Linked DNA regions of Rattus norvegicus. The protein of the gene in region 2 interacts with the protein of the main gene of each other region in a biochemical or structural test. Links are inferred from orthologs where the notes say so. Each region holds a gene or a part of one and is shown on either strand. Other genes may lie near its edges.

Region 1 (4,605 bases), on a different chromosome or scaffold from region 2:
GTTTGTTTTTTGATTTGTATTTTTGTTGTTGTTTTGTTATAGGATCTTACTGTGTAGCTCAACATGACTTGGGACTTAAGGCGTTGTTCCAAGGATTGCTAGCTGCTATTACTGGTATATGACACAGTATATTTGTCACAGGTTTTTTAAAAAAGACTGCTCTGAGCAGTGTTGCTGAAAGCTTCGAAACGTCCTGGGTGGCTGCTGTGGGGGTGGTGACTGTGCTAAACCTTCTGATGTTATGTTGTATGTGTGCATGTTTAGAAATCAGAGAATTTTGTAGGGTCAGTGCTCTCCTCTCTCTATGGGGGGGTTCCAGGTATCAAATTCAGGGTGTCATAAGGGTTGTGAAGTCTCTTTCTCTCTCTCTCTCTCTCTCTCTCTCTCTCTCTCAACCGAGACTCACTAGCCCTGGCTGGTCTCGGAATTGCAGCAATCTTCCTGCCTCTGCCTCTCAGGGGGTAGGATTTCGGCATGAGCCACCCTCACTCCCAGCTCTTTAACAGTGACTCCTTCAGAGAACAGGAAATTAGTAGGTGCCAACGTTTGACCCTGTGTACTCACTGACTCAGCTGGCCCACTTTAGAAATGGACTGTGTGTGGTATGACTTAGCCCCACAGGATCTATCTAGGAAGTCAGTGGTAACTATTGTCTCTCACTCTGACAGAGTGGCTATCCCACAGCAGAGAACCAAGCTGAGGCTGAGCGAGTCCTGCAGGAAATGCGGGACCTCCTCTCAAATTTGGAGCAGGAGATCACCAGAGCCTCTGAAATGAAGAAGAAAGATGAAGAAGAGGCTCGGGTCAAGCTGCAGGAGTCACAGGTGCAGCAGGGGCCAGGGGCTCCCACCAAGACCTCTGCACCCAGCCCAAGCCTAGTAGGGACACAGAGTGAAGGTGGGTTGTGGTGTGGATGCAGTCCTTTAACTGGGCTAGGTGTTAGGATATTAAAAAAAAAAAAAAAGCAAAAGCAAATGTGACAAACGTGAAGGTGTCACACTACAGGACCACCCAGTTCATCAGAACTCTTGCCTAATGTGTTACATACAGTTTTGGTTGATCTGGAGCCAATTCTAGATTCTGCCATGTTCCCCAGGACTCAGAAAGCCTGTCTACATCTAGTGAGAGTGGTGTTATAAATATCACTACTGCTTGAGCATTTGTTTGTTTGGTTCGGGTTTTTGAGACAGGGTATTTTTGGTGTGTAGCCCTGACCATCCTGGAACTTACTTTGTGACTAGGCTGGCCTTGAACTCATAGAGATCCCCTGCTTGTGATCCCTGAGTGCAAGGATTAAAGGTATACACCACCATATTTTATTTTGAAAGAATTGCTTAAGATTTACTCGTTTTTGTCTTATGTGCATGAGTGTTTGCCTGCGTGTATCTATGTGTACTACATGTGTGCCCGGTGCTCACAGAGGCCAGAAGAGAGCACTTAAGGTACAGGGAGTTTTGAGCCACCTTGTGGCTGCTGGGATCCAGTAGCTACGCTCTTTCTTCAATAAGAATAGCAACTGTTCTTTAAAAAGAGTTTCAGAGGATTGTATGTAATGTGTGAATCTGCTGAACTTCAATCTCTCCAACCCCACTTCTATGTACTTTAAATAATAGTGCAGCTACCCCTGTTTAATATGTTCGAGGATCTGTAGTGACAGTTTTGGAGTTTTGGTTTCTTTAAAACACAAAAATAGGTTTTTGTTCTAATCCCAGGTGTGGAATCTAGGACTGCTTCATATCGTCCACAGCAGCTGACTATGATTTTGCCAGCTATAGATAGTTTCTGTGACTGTGTAATGTCTGGGGTTCTGGGGACTTTTTTCTAAGGGTTCATAACTGCTAGGGCCCTGAGGTGGGGAGGTTCTGGTTGTTGTTGGCTATGGTTTGTTAAGTAGTTGCGTCCCAAATTAGATCTCTTGCTGGTGAAGATCAAACTTGCCCCAAAGAACTCAACACTCCTTATCAGCACGAAGTAGTCTAATGATAACATCCCCTCTTTCTGGCCCCTGACTTTATTCAGGGATCTCTTTCCTTTCCACTCTATCCTTTTTTTATCCTATCTATTGTTAGGGGTTGGAAGAATGGAAGAAAGAACCACCCCCACGACCCAATGTAGCAAAAGTCTGGCCACAGAAATGGACAGAGCAGTGTGTCTTTCTGTGCCTGTTTCTTGTTAAATGGAAAGAGTGTTAGTGTCTGCTCTGTAGGGTGACCGTGACACCGAAGCAGCCGGTGCATAGTGTAGTCCTAGTTCAGACACCATGTTGCATAAGCTCCCTGCCACTAAGGCCTGTCTTTGTTCTCAGACCTGCAGGTGAAGGTACAGGATAGTACGATGCAGTGGTACCAGCAACTTCAGGATGCTTCTGCCAAATGCGTGTTGGCCTTTGAGGACCTGACCAGCAGCAAGGACAGTCAGGTACGGGAGAAATCGGGTGGCCAAAATTTTGGTGGTGCCTGGCAGCCTGATGTTCTAGCAACGTACTTGGTCTATCATATTCCCTCATTCTAAGCAAGTGCTCAGCTCTGCACAAGCCCACTTAACAAGTAACCATTCTCTTGGTAGATCAAAAAGATAAAGATGGACCTGCAGAAGGCAGCCACCATCCCAGTGAGCCAGATCTCCACCATCGCAGGTGGGTCAGATGGGTGAGAATATTGTCCTTCACTTGGTTGTCTTAGTTTTGCAACCTTCGATAGTGTTTGTTCAGGGCTGGAGAATGTGACTTAGTGGTGTGGCAATTGACAAGTATGTGCAAGGGCCCAGGTTCCATCTCCACTAACACACACACACACACACACACACACACACACACACGCGCACACACACACACACACATATTTCAAATGTATGTTACATTCCTACTGTTTTGTTTTTCTTCTTTAAACAGAGCTGGGTCTAGTAGTATAGGCCCTTAATCCCAGCTGGTTGAGGGAAGGCAGAGGCTGTGGTGTCACAAGTTCAAGTACAGCCTGTGTGAAGTGCAACTCAGTGAGACACTTAAAAGGAGAAAGCCAGAAGCCCCTGGGCTGGAGCTATTGTTGAACACTCAGGTGCATACTAGGCCTAGCTAACTGAATCCTCAGTACCACAGAAAAGGAAAAAGGGTTTAAAAGATTTATTTATGGGGCTGGGGATTTAGCTCAGTGGTAGAGCGCTTACCTAGGAAGCGCAAGGCCCTGGGTTCGGTCCCCAGCTCCGAAAAAAAAGAACCAAAAAAAAAAAAAAGATTTATTTATTTATTATATATGAGTACATTGTCGCTGTCGGCAGACACACCAGAAGAGGGCATCGGATCCATTACAGATGGTTGTGAGGGACCATGTGGTTGCTGGGAATTGAACTCAGGACCTCTGGAAGAGCAGTCACTGCTCTTAACCTCTGAGCCATCTCTCCAGCCCGAGCTCAAATAATTTTATTGAGCAGCTGTAGGTTGGGGTGCTGGGGGAGGTGCTGAGGAAGTACTGAGGGGACAAAGAAACCACATGCAAAGGCCATTGACAAATTTTTTTTTTTTTTTTTTTTTGGCTTTAGAGGTTGAAGATTTGGCCTAGTGTCTTCTACCACCCAACTACTAATTCTGATCTGTGTGTTATTGAGGTAGTAGACCACTGTAGCTCAGGCTTTCCTTGAATTCATCTTAGCCTTCTGGGTGTTCTTTTTTTTTTTTTTTTTCTCGAGCTAGGGACCAAACCCGGGCCTTGGGCTTGCTAGGCAAGCGCTCTACCACTGAGCTAAATCCCCAACCCCCCTTCTGGGTGTTCTTGAGTTCAGACATGTGCCATATCACACTGGGCTTCTGTGAAGTCTGTGTGTGACTGAGTGTGAGTGCAGGTGCCTGGGGAGGCCAGAAGAGGGCGCTGATCCCATGGAGTCTGTGAGCTGCCTCATGTGGGTGCTGGGAATGAGCTCTGGCCCTCATGCTCTTAACCACTGAGCCATCTTTCAGCCTTGATTCATTTTTTCATAAGTTAGAGATTAATAGTAAATTATTTATTTTATTTTTTTTAAAGATTTATTTATTACATATAAGTACACTGTAACTGTCTTCAGACACCAGACGAGGGCATCGGATCCCATTACAGATGGCTGTGAGCCACCATGTGGTTGCTGGGATTTGAACTTAGGACCTCTGGAAGAGCAGTCAGTGCTCTTAACCACTGAGCCACCTCTCAGGATAGTAAATTATTTATAATGATTTAAATAATCACTGGGTGATTGTTTTGGAGTAGGGTCTTACTACATCGCCTTATATGTTCTGGATCTTACTCTGTAGATCATCTAGGATTAAAGGTGTGCATCACCATGCCTGGTTTTGTTTGTGTTTTTGAGGTGGTGCTGGCTTTGTATTGACGTGCTAGGCAAACACTTTACCAGTAAGCACACCTGGCCCCCAGCCCCTCAGTGGCTTTTAAGTTCTCATGAAGAGAACTTGAGAAGAAAACTGGTGAACACCCACCTAGAAAGTCACGTATATCTTTGCTTTTTTCCTGCTTTGTTCTGTTTTAGCTTCTCCAAACTCCAAGATTGACTCTCTCTTAGCAGAAATGTAGAGAATAAAGCCAGACAAAGAAAGACCTTTAGAGCCGGGGCTCAGTTTCACAC
Region 2 (4,605 bases):
CACACACAACACACTTGTAAGTGCTTTCTCAATTTTCAGAAGGCTAAAATCTTACATATAGGCTAGAAATTATAACCTGGATCCAGGACTTGATAAAAACCCAGTTCTTTTTTTCCCCCTCCCCTAAAAACCCAGTTCCCTTTAACTGAGAACAGAGTTAAATTTTATAAAAGTTGTACTTGAAAAGTTCTTTTCCTATATTATCGATAAAGATTTTATACAAAGAGAGATCTGTCTCTTAAAATCCCAACAATCAGCCCAGGGTTGAGGACTCACCTCTCTTGGAAAGTCTGAAGACCAACCACATCCTCTTCCGGTTCCCCATGCTTATAGAAATGGAGTCCAAGACCCTGAGGATCTTTCTTCTCCGCAGCAGTAAGAGACAGTTCCACCACACCCTCATAAAAGCGCACTGATGGGAAAGACAAAGGCCAAGGGCTCAGAGCTGACTACTAAGCTGCACATGTTTTCCTTAGCAGACATAGAAAGGAACCAAGAATGGAATGCTGTATTTCTATTAGAAAATATTTCTGATGTGATTATGGAAAGAAGGGTCTAATCTGGCTAGAAAGCACATATTTTTCTTGGAAAAAACCTTTATATATAAAATAACAAACAAGTATCAGAGAAAAAACTTGTAATTTAAATCTGTGCTGATAGTTATAGTTTTTACTTTTAAAGTTAGACAAAAATGTTAGGCATTTAAAAATTAAGTATACTTTAGTAGTGTGGCTTAAAAAGAACTGAAACTCAAACTATATTAGCCAGAAACAGGAACATGTATACAATCTCAGGCTTTGGAGGGGGAGGCAGAAAGATCAGAGGCTGAAGGCTATCTGTGACTACAAGGAGATCAGTTCAGGGCCAGCCTGAGGTACATGGAAGACTGTCTCAAAAAAATAAACGAGCACTGTCTCACATGTACAGAGGCTAGTTTACTCTTCAGGATGAAAAGGAAAAAATAAATGAAAGCAACCTCACAATTTAAAGTGTCACTGTGGTCACAGACGCTAGAAAACTGGCCTCTGAGTAGTCTCTAGATCACTGTGCTGTGTTCACACATGGCCTTGTGTCCTCTCACTTAAAGAAGACAAAGAAGGGGGTTGGGGATTTAGCTCAGTGGTAGAGCGCTTGCCTAGGAAGCGCAAGGCCCTGGGTTCGGTCCCCAGCTCCGAAAAAAAGAACCAAAAAAAAAAAAAAAAAAAAGACAAAAGGATTTGGTTCTCACCTTGCCGATACTGAGCACACACACTGGGGAGGTCTACTTGGTTGCTGATTTTCTGGTACTCCTTCAGAGACTCCCTCAACATCCTCTCTCTCTCGCTCTTACTCTGAACTTGCCGGGAACGCTGAAGAAGTTCATTTGCCTAAAGAGAGGACACAAGTGTAAACAGAGGCAAAGCCAAGCAGGCAGACGGTGCTGTCCGTATGCTTAGCGGATCTGACTAAATGTACATGTGCTTATCATCATTATAAATAAAAATTCTACAAACTTACTTCTTACTTTTAGGCAGAAAAGATTTTGACCAAAATAATCCTAGCTAGTCTTTCCCAGAGAGCCTTGTCTGGGAATGTTCTTGCCTAGTCAATACATTATTGGTCAGCAGGCAGATCATCATGTGACACTTAATTTTTTTTCACCTGTAGGAAAGGATCAATAAGAATTGCCTCATTAACTTTGATTCACTCCAAATTTTACTTAACGTTTTAGTGACTTTCCTTACTTTTTAAGGAAGGAAACAAACTCCAATTTTCTTAATTACTAAATTAAGTGATTTTTCCTAAATTGCTAACTTTGACCTTTTTAGACTTTATGTGTGTGGGTGTTTTGCTTGCATGTATGTCTGTGTAGCACGATCCTGATGCCCATGGATGTCAGGGCAGGGCAGCAGAACCCTTGGGACTGGTTTTACAGACAATACTAGCTGCCATATGGGTGGTGGTAGTTGAACCTGGGTCCTCTGGATAAACAGTCTGTGCTCTTAACCACAGAACCCAAATCACTACTGTCCAGTCCTATATGCTTTGTCTTAAACCATGGCCAACACATACTGCCAAAGAGTCAAAATGTAACACTTAAAGGAGTATGCATGTATGTTTAAGAAACCATGTCCTTCAACCCATGTCTCAGTTGAGGATTCTGACACTGTAACACATTAAGAACTGATCCTGAGGTGATATGAGGAAAGATCATTATGATTCTCCATTCCCACTCATCATTATGAAACCACACATATAAAAACACTGAAGAAGCAGTGACACAAACCTTGGAACAAACTGCATCATCTGTGCTATACAGAAGCGGACAGGTGTCCTGCAGATGTAAACTAATGCCATCTACAGCAGCATTGTCTCTGATGTAGCAGTTGATGAGAGAAGCAATTAGTGCTCCAGTGACCTCTTTGTCCCTGATTACCAGATCCTTAAAGGTAGTGATCTTCAGCTGCTCTTGAAATTCCTAGAAAGAGAGAGAAAACCTTTCATCAAAATCAAAGAATACTTTATTTCCTCACAAAGTAAAATTTGTTTGTTTTTTGGGACAGGGCCTCATGAGGTAGCACTTGTGGCCTAGAACTTACTATGTAGATATGGCTGGCCTTAAACATAAATCTACCTGCCTAGAATCCCAAATGTTAGCATTAAAGTTATGAGCCAGCATGCCGAAATTTCATTTGTAATAAAAGACTCTATCAATAGACTCTAATTTAAATAAGAATAGGGCTGGGGTTTGCTTCCTAGCACTGACAAAGAAAATACACCAAACACTGACATAGCTCTGCAAAAAAGCTGCAATAAAATCATATAAGGATGCAGTTAGCCTCTAGAAGGTTTAATTCAAACCTCTGGCTTTATGTATGAGAAAAGTTAGATCAAGGCAGAGTCAGCACTAGTATCAGGACACTTTGGTCATTGGGAAGAACCTTCACTAGGCTACATGTAAACCTCTGGCCGGCCATGTGTCAGCACCTGGAGGTTCAGGCAGGCAGACCTCTGTGAGACGGAGGCCAGCCTGGAGAACACCCTTCAGTTCCGGGATAGTCAGAGCGACATAGTGAGATCCTGTCTCATGATCAGACAAAAAGAATCTTGTGCTTTGTTTTTCCTTCTTCTTTTTTCTTTTTTTTTTTTTTCGGAGCTGGGGACTGAACCCAGAGCCTTGCGCTTGCGAGGCAAGCGCTCTACCACTGAGCTAAATCCCCAACCCCGCTTTGTTTTTCCTAAATAATGTTGCAATTCCAGAATTAGATGCATGAATTTGACCTGCATTTTACATAAATGCTCTTGCTAAGGTATAGCTCTAAAGTGTAGGGTCATTTATAGTCCAGTACGTATTTTTATAGTGATAGATGTTTTTCTTAAATTTCAACAAAAATATCTACAAAATAGTGCAAGTTTTGGAGGAAATATCTAATTTGCATTCCTTGAGCACATAATTAGTAATGGAAGGCAAGGAAGGTTTGAAGACAGATCACAAACGACACAGAGGCTATGAAGTTCCTATCCTAAGTTTATAATCCAATAAAAACCAAAACATCTTACCTGGAATAAAAAATAAGATGGCTTTCATCAACTAAATAGAAGAGCTTCACATTTTAAAAAGGGGAAAACAAAAGTTTATGTAAAAAAAAAAAATCAAGGAAGACTAAACAACATCCCTAGCCACTCTCTGGCCACTGGGAAAGAGAACTGGAGATCAGTTTTTCACTTTGCAACTGTGGGGACTGGGTAGGCCGCTCAGCAGTCAGTAGAGCTGCTCTTACAGAGGACCCAGGCTCAATTCCCAGCATGCACATGGAAGATGACAGCACAAGGGGACCTGATGGCTTCTTTGGGCACCACCAGGCAGGCATTTCATGCTCTTACAAAAATATAGGCAGAACACACACATGCATCAATATTGTATTTCATTTATTTATTTAGTTTGAGATGGAGTTATCCCTACACAGCTCTGGCGGACCCGGAGCTAATTCATTATGTATACCAAGCTGGCCTACAATTTAGAAAGATCCGCCGCCTCAAAGGCATGTGCCACAACATACATACAACACACATAAACTTAAAAAAGAAATAAGCATTTTGAGTATTAAATAACCCTGAAGGACAAAAAGCCACCTCACCTTTTGAAGTTCTCCTACAATGACAGTAAACTGATGTTCACAAAGGAGTTTCCACAAAGCCAGAGCTTGGTACGATTTTCTAACTAGCTGCTGGATTGCCTGAAGTGAAATCTTCTCACTCAGTTGAGCCTCTAATGACAAAATACAATTATGATATTTTATCAAATGACACAAGGCAAACTGCTTCTTCACGTCAAATACAGCATAGCTAAGAGTGACATCCCCACGTCTCCCCTGCCTCCACTACAGACAATGGGGGCATTCATTCATGTTTTCATTCCCATGAAATACACTAGCATGAATACACATGAAAACATTTGCATATGCAAATTCATTTGCATTTGACAAGGAAAATAAAAACACTGTAGTGCCTGTGTCTCATTTCTTAAGAATGCCACATCCAACAGTCCCACCCAATGGACATTCAGACTGCACCCAGCAGTGCCACTAAAACAATAGCTTAGAGGGCCTTGTAGAAGGCACCCCC
Region 3 (4,567 bases), on a different chromosome or scaffold from region 2:
AAGACTACCTTACCTTTACTAAAATCTTGATAACAGTTCCTGTTTTTATCCATTTCTGATTAATAGCCCTAAGCCAGGTACATAGTGGCATATTTTAGTAGTCACTGAAGAAACATTTCTAGTTGAAATCAGTTCATTTATGCAGTATAGTCATTAAGAACCCAAAATATGCTGAGGACTGTGGATTTGGGAGCTACTGGGGTAAACAGCACGTTTTTTCCTTACTGATTCAGTGGGGAAGACTGAGTAAGCCAGCCATACTACAGAGTAAAGGAAAAGATTGCCATGGGTTGTTGATTATATGCCACTCAGAGTGTAGCTCGGTATTCATAATCATAACCGAATGAAACGCACCCCTCACTTAAAATCCAGTCTGGAGCTGGAGAGATGGCTCAGTGGTTAAAATCACTTGCTGCCCTTGCAGAGGTTCAAGTCTTAGTACCCCCATGGTGGCTCATAGACATTAGCCAGTTCCAGGAGATCCAGTGCCCTCTTCTGCCCTCATACATGCTGATAAACATCATGCACAAAATATTATCTTTAACTTTCCCCTTCTGTTTCGCTGTTTTCCTCTTTACCGCATGTGTTGCACCTTACAGGGCTTAGCTGTTTCTTTTACAAACTTGACGTGTTTTTAGAAAGGTCTCAGCTGACAAATGGCCTACTTAAGGAAGTTTCCCCTACTTTGAAACAGACATCTGGTTTCTTTATTTCCGCAGCTTACAATTCTTTGAGGTTTTCTTGTCTGTAAAATTCAAGCAAAGATAGCAGAGGGTAAGAGTAGTTTGTGTTTAGGGATAAATTAGTGAATTCTGCAAGCCCTCTTCAAAGTGAGTTCTAGCCACTTGTAACCAAGCATGGTGACCTGAGTTCAGTCTCCAAAACTCACATAGTGAAAGGAGACATCCTTTGACCTGGTGACAGGAGAAAAGTAAATCTGGTTTGTTTTTAATGTCTCTGACAAGGTGTGGTGCTACATGCCTATAATATGCCATGATGAAACAAGAGGGTAATGGCAACTTTGGGACCAGCCTGGAATATACAAGTTCTAGGCCAGTTGGGGCTACATATCAAGACCGGATCTCAAAAAAACAAATGATTGGGCTGGAGAGATGGGTCAGTGGTTAAGCCACTGACTGCTCTTCCAGAGAGGTCTGAGTTCAAATCCCAGCAACCACATGGTGGCTCACAACCATCTGTAATGAGATATGATGCCCTCTTCTGGTGTGTCCGAAGACAGATACGGTGTACTTATATATAATAAATAAATCTTTAAAAAAAAAAACAAAAAACAACCCAACACCATGATTATAGAGAGTAACACAGTAGTGTGGCCAAGCTCCTAAGGTGTTTAAGGTGAGAAGTAATGGTGGTCCAAGCTTCAACAAGGAGTGTGGCACAGGAACGGAAGTTTGGTGTTGGGCTAGAACTGAGGACTTAGAAATCAATACATTGACTATAGTTGGAACCGTAGGGATGGATCAGGAGAGTGTATAAATGAGTAGGTCCTGCACTGTTTTAGAAATGGCTGTGACTTTAGAATAAGGAGTTGTAAATTAAATGCTGGTTTAAGTGTCACCTCTTACTACATGTGTGTTGCTGAGTGTCATACTATGTGTCTGAATCAGATGTATCCTATGTTTTTTGGTGTTGTGTAAAAATTATGTGACTTGTGAATCATATCTCAGGACCTGTCCAGCCCAAGGCTCTGTGTTCACTCCCTCATGTTCACTGTTAGTACCTTGCCTTAGCAACTAGGTGGTATGGTGGTAGCGTGGGCACTGCCACCAGCTCTTGGGTTTTCTCCCCTCCTATCATTGTCCTTAGGATTGTGTGTAATCTGTGAGTGGGATTGAGGTATACATGGGGCTTTTTGTTTTGGTGGTGGTAGTGTTTTGGTTTTGTTATTTGAGACAGGGTTTCTGTTTATAGCCCTGGCTGTCTTGAAACTCATTCCGTAGACCATGCATTGAAGTGCTGAGATGGAGGCATGTGAGGTAGAGGTTTGTTTTGTCCTTACTGGTTTCTGTTTTCCTGTAGGTGGATTGCTCAGGCTATGAACTAGAGCACTTACATACCAAAGTGACTTCACTGTGTAACCGGATAGAGCAGATTCCGTGCTACAATGCCAAGGATCGCCTGGCTCAGTCAGGTAAACATGTGGGCTCTGCTTGCTCATGGCCGTTACCCCGACACCAGTGCCTTGTTCTCAGTACTCACTCTGGTATTTCTCTCTAGATATGGCCAAGCGGGTAGCCAACTTACTGCGGGTAGTTCTGAGCCTTCAGCACACTCCTGACGCCACCTCCAACTCCACTCCGGACCCTCAGCGAGTCCCTTTGCGTCTTTTGGCTCCCCACATTGGCAGGCTCCCTATGCCTGAGGACTATGCCTTGGAGGAACTGCGAGGCCTTACCCAGTCCTACCTTCGAGAACTGACTGTTGGGAGCCAATGAGCCTGGCTCCTGCCCATCCGCACTCGCCACCACAGTCTCCCACATTGTTTTAATTGACACTCTGCCAATCTCTGGGAGTCCTCCGCTCCTCTTCGCTGCCCTTCGCAGCATCCTCTAGTTATTCAGGGGTTTTCATAATACTGAGCATATCCTACCATAGCTCATAAGGGCTTCTGGAACAGCAACAACAAAAAACACAGGTCTCCATTGATCAACCTCAAGACCATTCAGTTTTTTTCTTTTGAAAAATGGTCAATAAAACCTCTTTGGCAGAACCTCCCAAAACCCAGGGAATTCTTTTCCACACCCAGAGTTCTGACTCTCACCCCAGATATATGACTGACTGACCTTCCCTTACTACAGATTTGTCTCTCAAGTAGATTTCTCAGTTAACAGTGTGTTTGGGAATCAAGAGAGTTGGACCTTGTTCTTTGACATATTTAAGAAAGAAGGGCTGTCTACCATGGAGGCGGAGATCTTCAAGGCTTTTACTCATGCCTTGTATATCCTTTGGACACCATGCTATCATGTGCAGTGGCCCCAAGCTACAGAGAACAACTCTTGAGAAGCCCCAGAACTGCTCTGACCCTTGATCATCAGTCATTTTCCTCGATTTGCCAGAGGAGTTTAGATGAAGAATGTCAAGGGTGTTCCTCCCTGCCCTCCCATCTAGCCAAGAACATTTCTCAGAAGGTAAAGCTGTCACTGCGACAGGTCTGGCTGGGCCCAGGGGCAGATAGGGAAGGCCTTCACCACATTGCTGCTGGCTATGGGAAGTCCCAGGCACTAGCCTGAAAGAGCGGATATTTGGGGCTGTCACAGACAATATGGCCACCCCTGGGTCTTTATGCATGAAGATTATGTAAAGGTTTTTATTAAAAAATATATATATAAATGATCTAGATTATTTTCCTCTTTCTGAAGTACTTTCTTAAAAAAAAAATAAAATGAAATGTTTATAGTATTCCTGGTGGTTTTGTCTTTGTGTTTTGGGAACTCTGGAATCTTTAAGAAACAGATCCTGGGCTGGGGATTTAGCTCAGTGGTAGAGCGCTTACCTAGGAAGCGCAAGGCCCTGGGTTCGGTCCCCAGCTCCGAAAAAAAGAACCAAAAAAAAAGAAAGAAACAGATCCTAAGTTAAGAGAACAAGGGGGCTGAGGAGTGAGTTCAGCATATCAGAGCACTAACCACACAAGCCTGACACCCCAAGTTCACTTCTCAGAATCTTCATAAAAAGGCAAGCTGTTAGCACACCCCTGTAATCCCAGAGCGCTGTATGTGTCTGGCAGCACTCTCCAAGGACTTTTTACATGTATACAGTGTATTTGTCATACCTATCACTCCCACTCTCAATTCTCAGCATTATGGTTGTTTTTGTTTTGTCTGTCTGAGTTTATTACTATTTTACGTGTGTTGTGGTTTACTTGTATGTATATCTGTTCACCACATATGTGCCTAGTGCCTGTGGAAGCCAGAGGGCATCAGATCTCAAGAACTGGAATTAGGAACAGTTACGAGCCACTTTAAGGGTGCCGAGAATCAAACCTGGGTCCTCTTGGAGGAGCAGCCAGTGTTCTTAGCCACTAACCCATCTTCCAGCCCCATTGTGTCAGAACTCTTGTTAGGGGATGGAGACAAGCGACACCCTGGAAACTGACCTGCCATCTCGCCTGGGGAAGGCAGCATGTCATCAGGAACTACAGACCTACCTCAAAGAGGAGGGAGGCAGTAATAATTCCCACATTGTCCTGAACTTGAGCACACATGACACTCACAAATGAATACTGGACAGTTAGATGCTGAGCTGAGATTCAGAGCACAAGCACTTTTCCCCATCTGCAGTACTGGGAATTGAACCCAGGTTCTTTGCATGCTCGGCAAGATCTCTACAGTTGAGCCACATCTCAAAGGCTAAATTTGTAAGGACAGACTTAGAGACAAGAAAGTTATTGACTGGGCTGGAGAGATGGCTCAGCGGTTAAGAGCACTGACTGCTCTTCCAGAGGTCCTGAGTTCAAATCCCAGCAACCACATGGTGGCTCACAACCATCTGTAATGGGGATCCGATGCCCTCTTCTGGTGTGTCTGAAGACAGCTACTCTGTACTTATA

The links.
Region 1: the proteins of Nup155 (region 2) and Gle1 form a complex in vitro, tested with the Homo sapiens proteins (2 studies listed by BioGRID). The link is inferred for Rattus norvegicus from reciprocal best matches to the Homo sapiens genes NUP155 and GLE1.
Region 3: the proteins of Nup155 (region 2) and Nup98 form a complex in vitro, tested with the Homo sapiens proteins (2 studies listed by BioGRID). The link is inferred for Rattus norvegicus from reciprocal best matches to the Homo sapiens genes NUP155 and NUP98.

Annotation. Positions count from the first base shown.
Region 1 is NC_086021.1:33,613,238-33,617,842, forward strand, and holds part of Gle1 (mRNA export factor GLE1), read left to right. Parts: intron 1-668; coding exon 669-897; intron 898-2,305; coding exon 2,306-2,418; intron 2,419-2,565; coding exon 2,566-2,635; intron 2,636-4,605. UniProt on the Homo sapiens protein: Required for the export of mRNAs containing poly(A) tails from the nucleus into the cytoplasm. May be involved in the terminal step of the mRNA transport through the nuclear pore complex (NPC).
Region 2 is NC_086020.1:58,962,442-58,967,046, reverse strand, and holds part of Nup155 (nuclear pore complex protein Nup155), read right to left. Parts: intron 4,250-4,605; coding exon 4,119-4,249; intron 2,459-4,118; coding exon 2,267-2,458; intron 1,368-2,266; coding exon 1,229-1,367; intron 413-1,228; coding exon 277-412; intron 1-276.
Region 3 is NC_086019.1:165,905,258-165,909,824, reverse strand, and holds the end of Nup98 (nuclear pore complex protein Nup98-Nup96 proprotein), read left to right. Parts: intron 1-2,040; coding exon 2,041-2,152; intron 2,153-2,238; coding exon 2,239-2,456; 3' UTR 2,457-3,420; downstream 3,421-4,567. UniProt on the Homo sapiens protein: Plays a role in the nuclear pore complex (NPC) assembly and/or maintenance. NUP98 and NUP96 are involved in the bidirectional transport across the NPC. May anchor NUP153 and TPR to the NPC.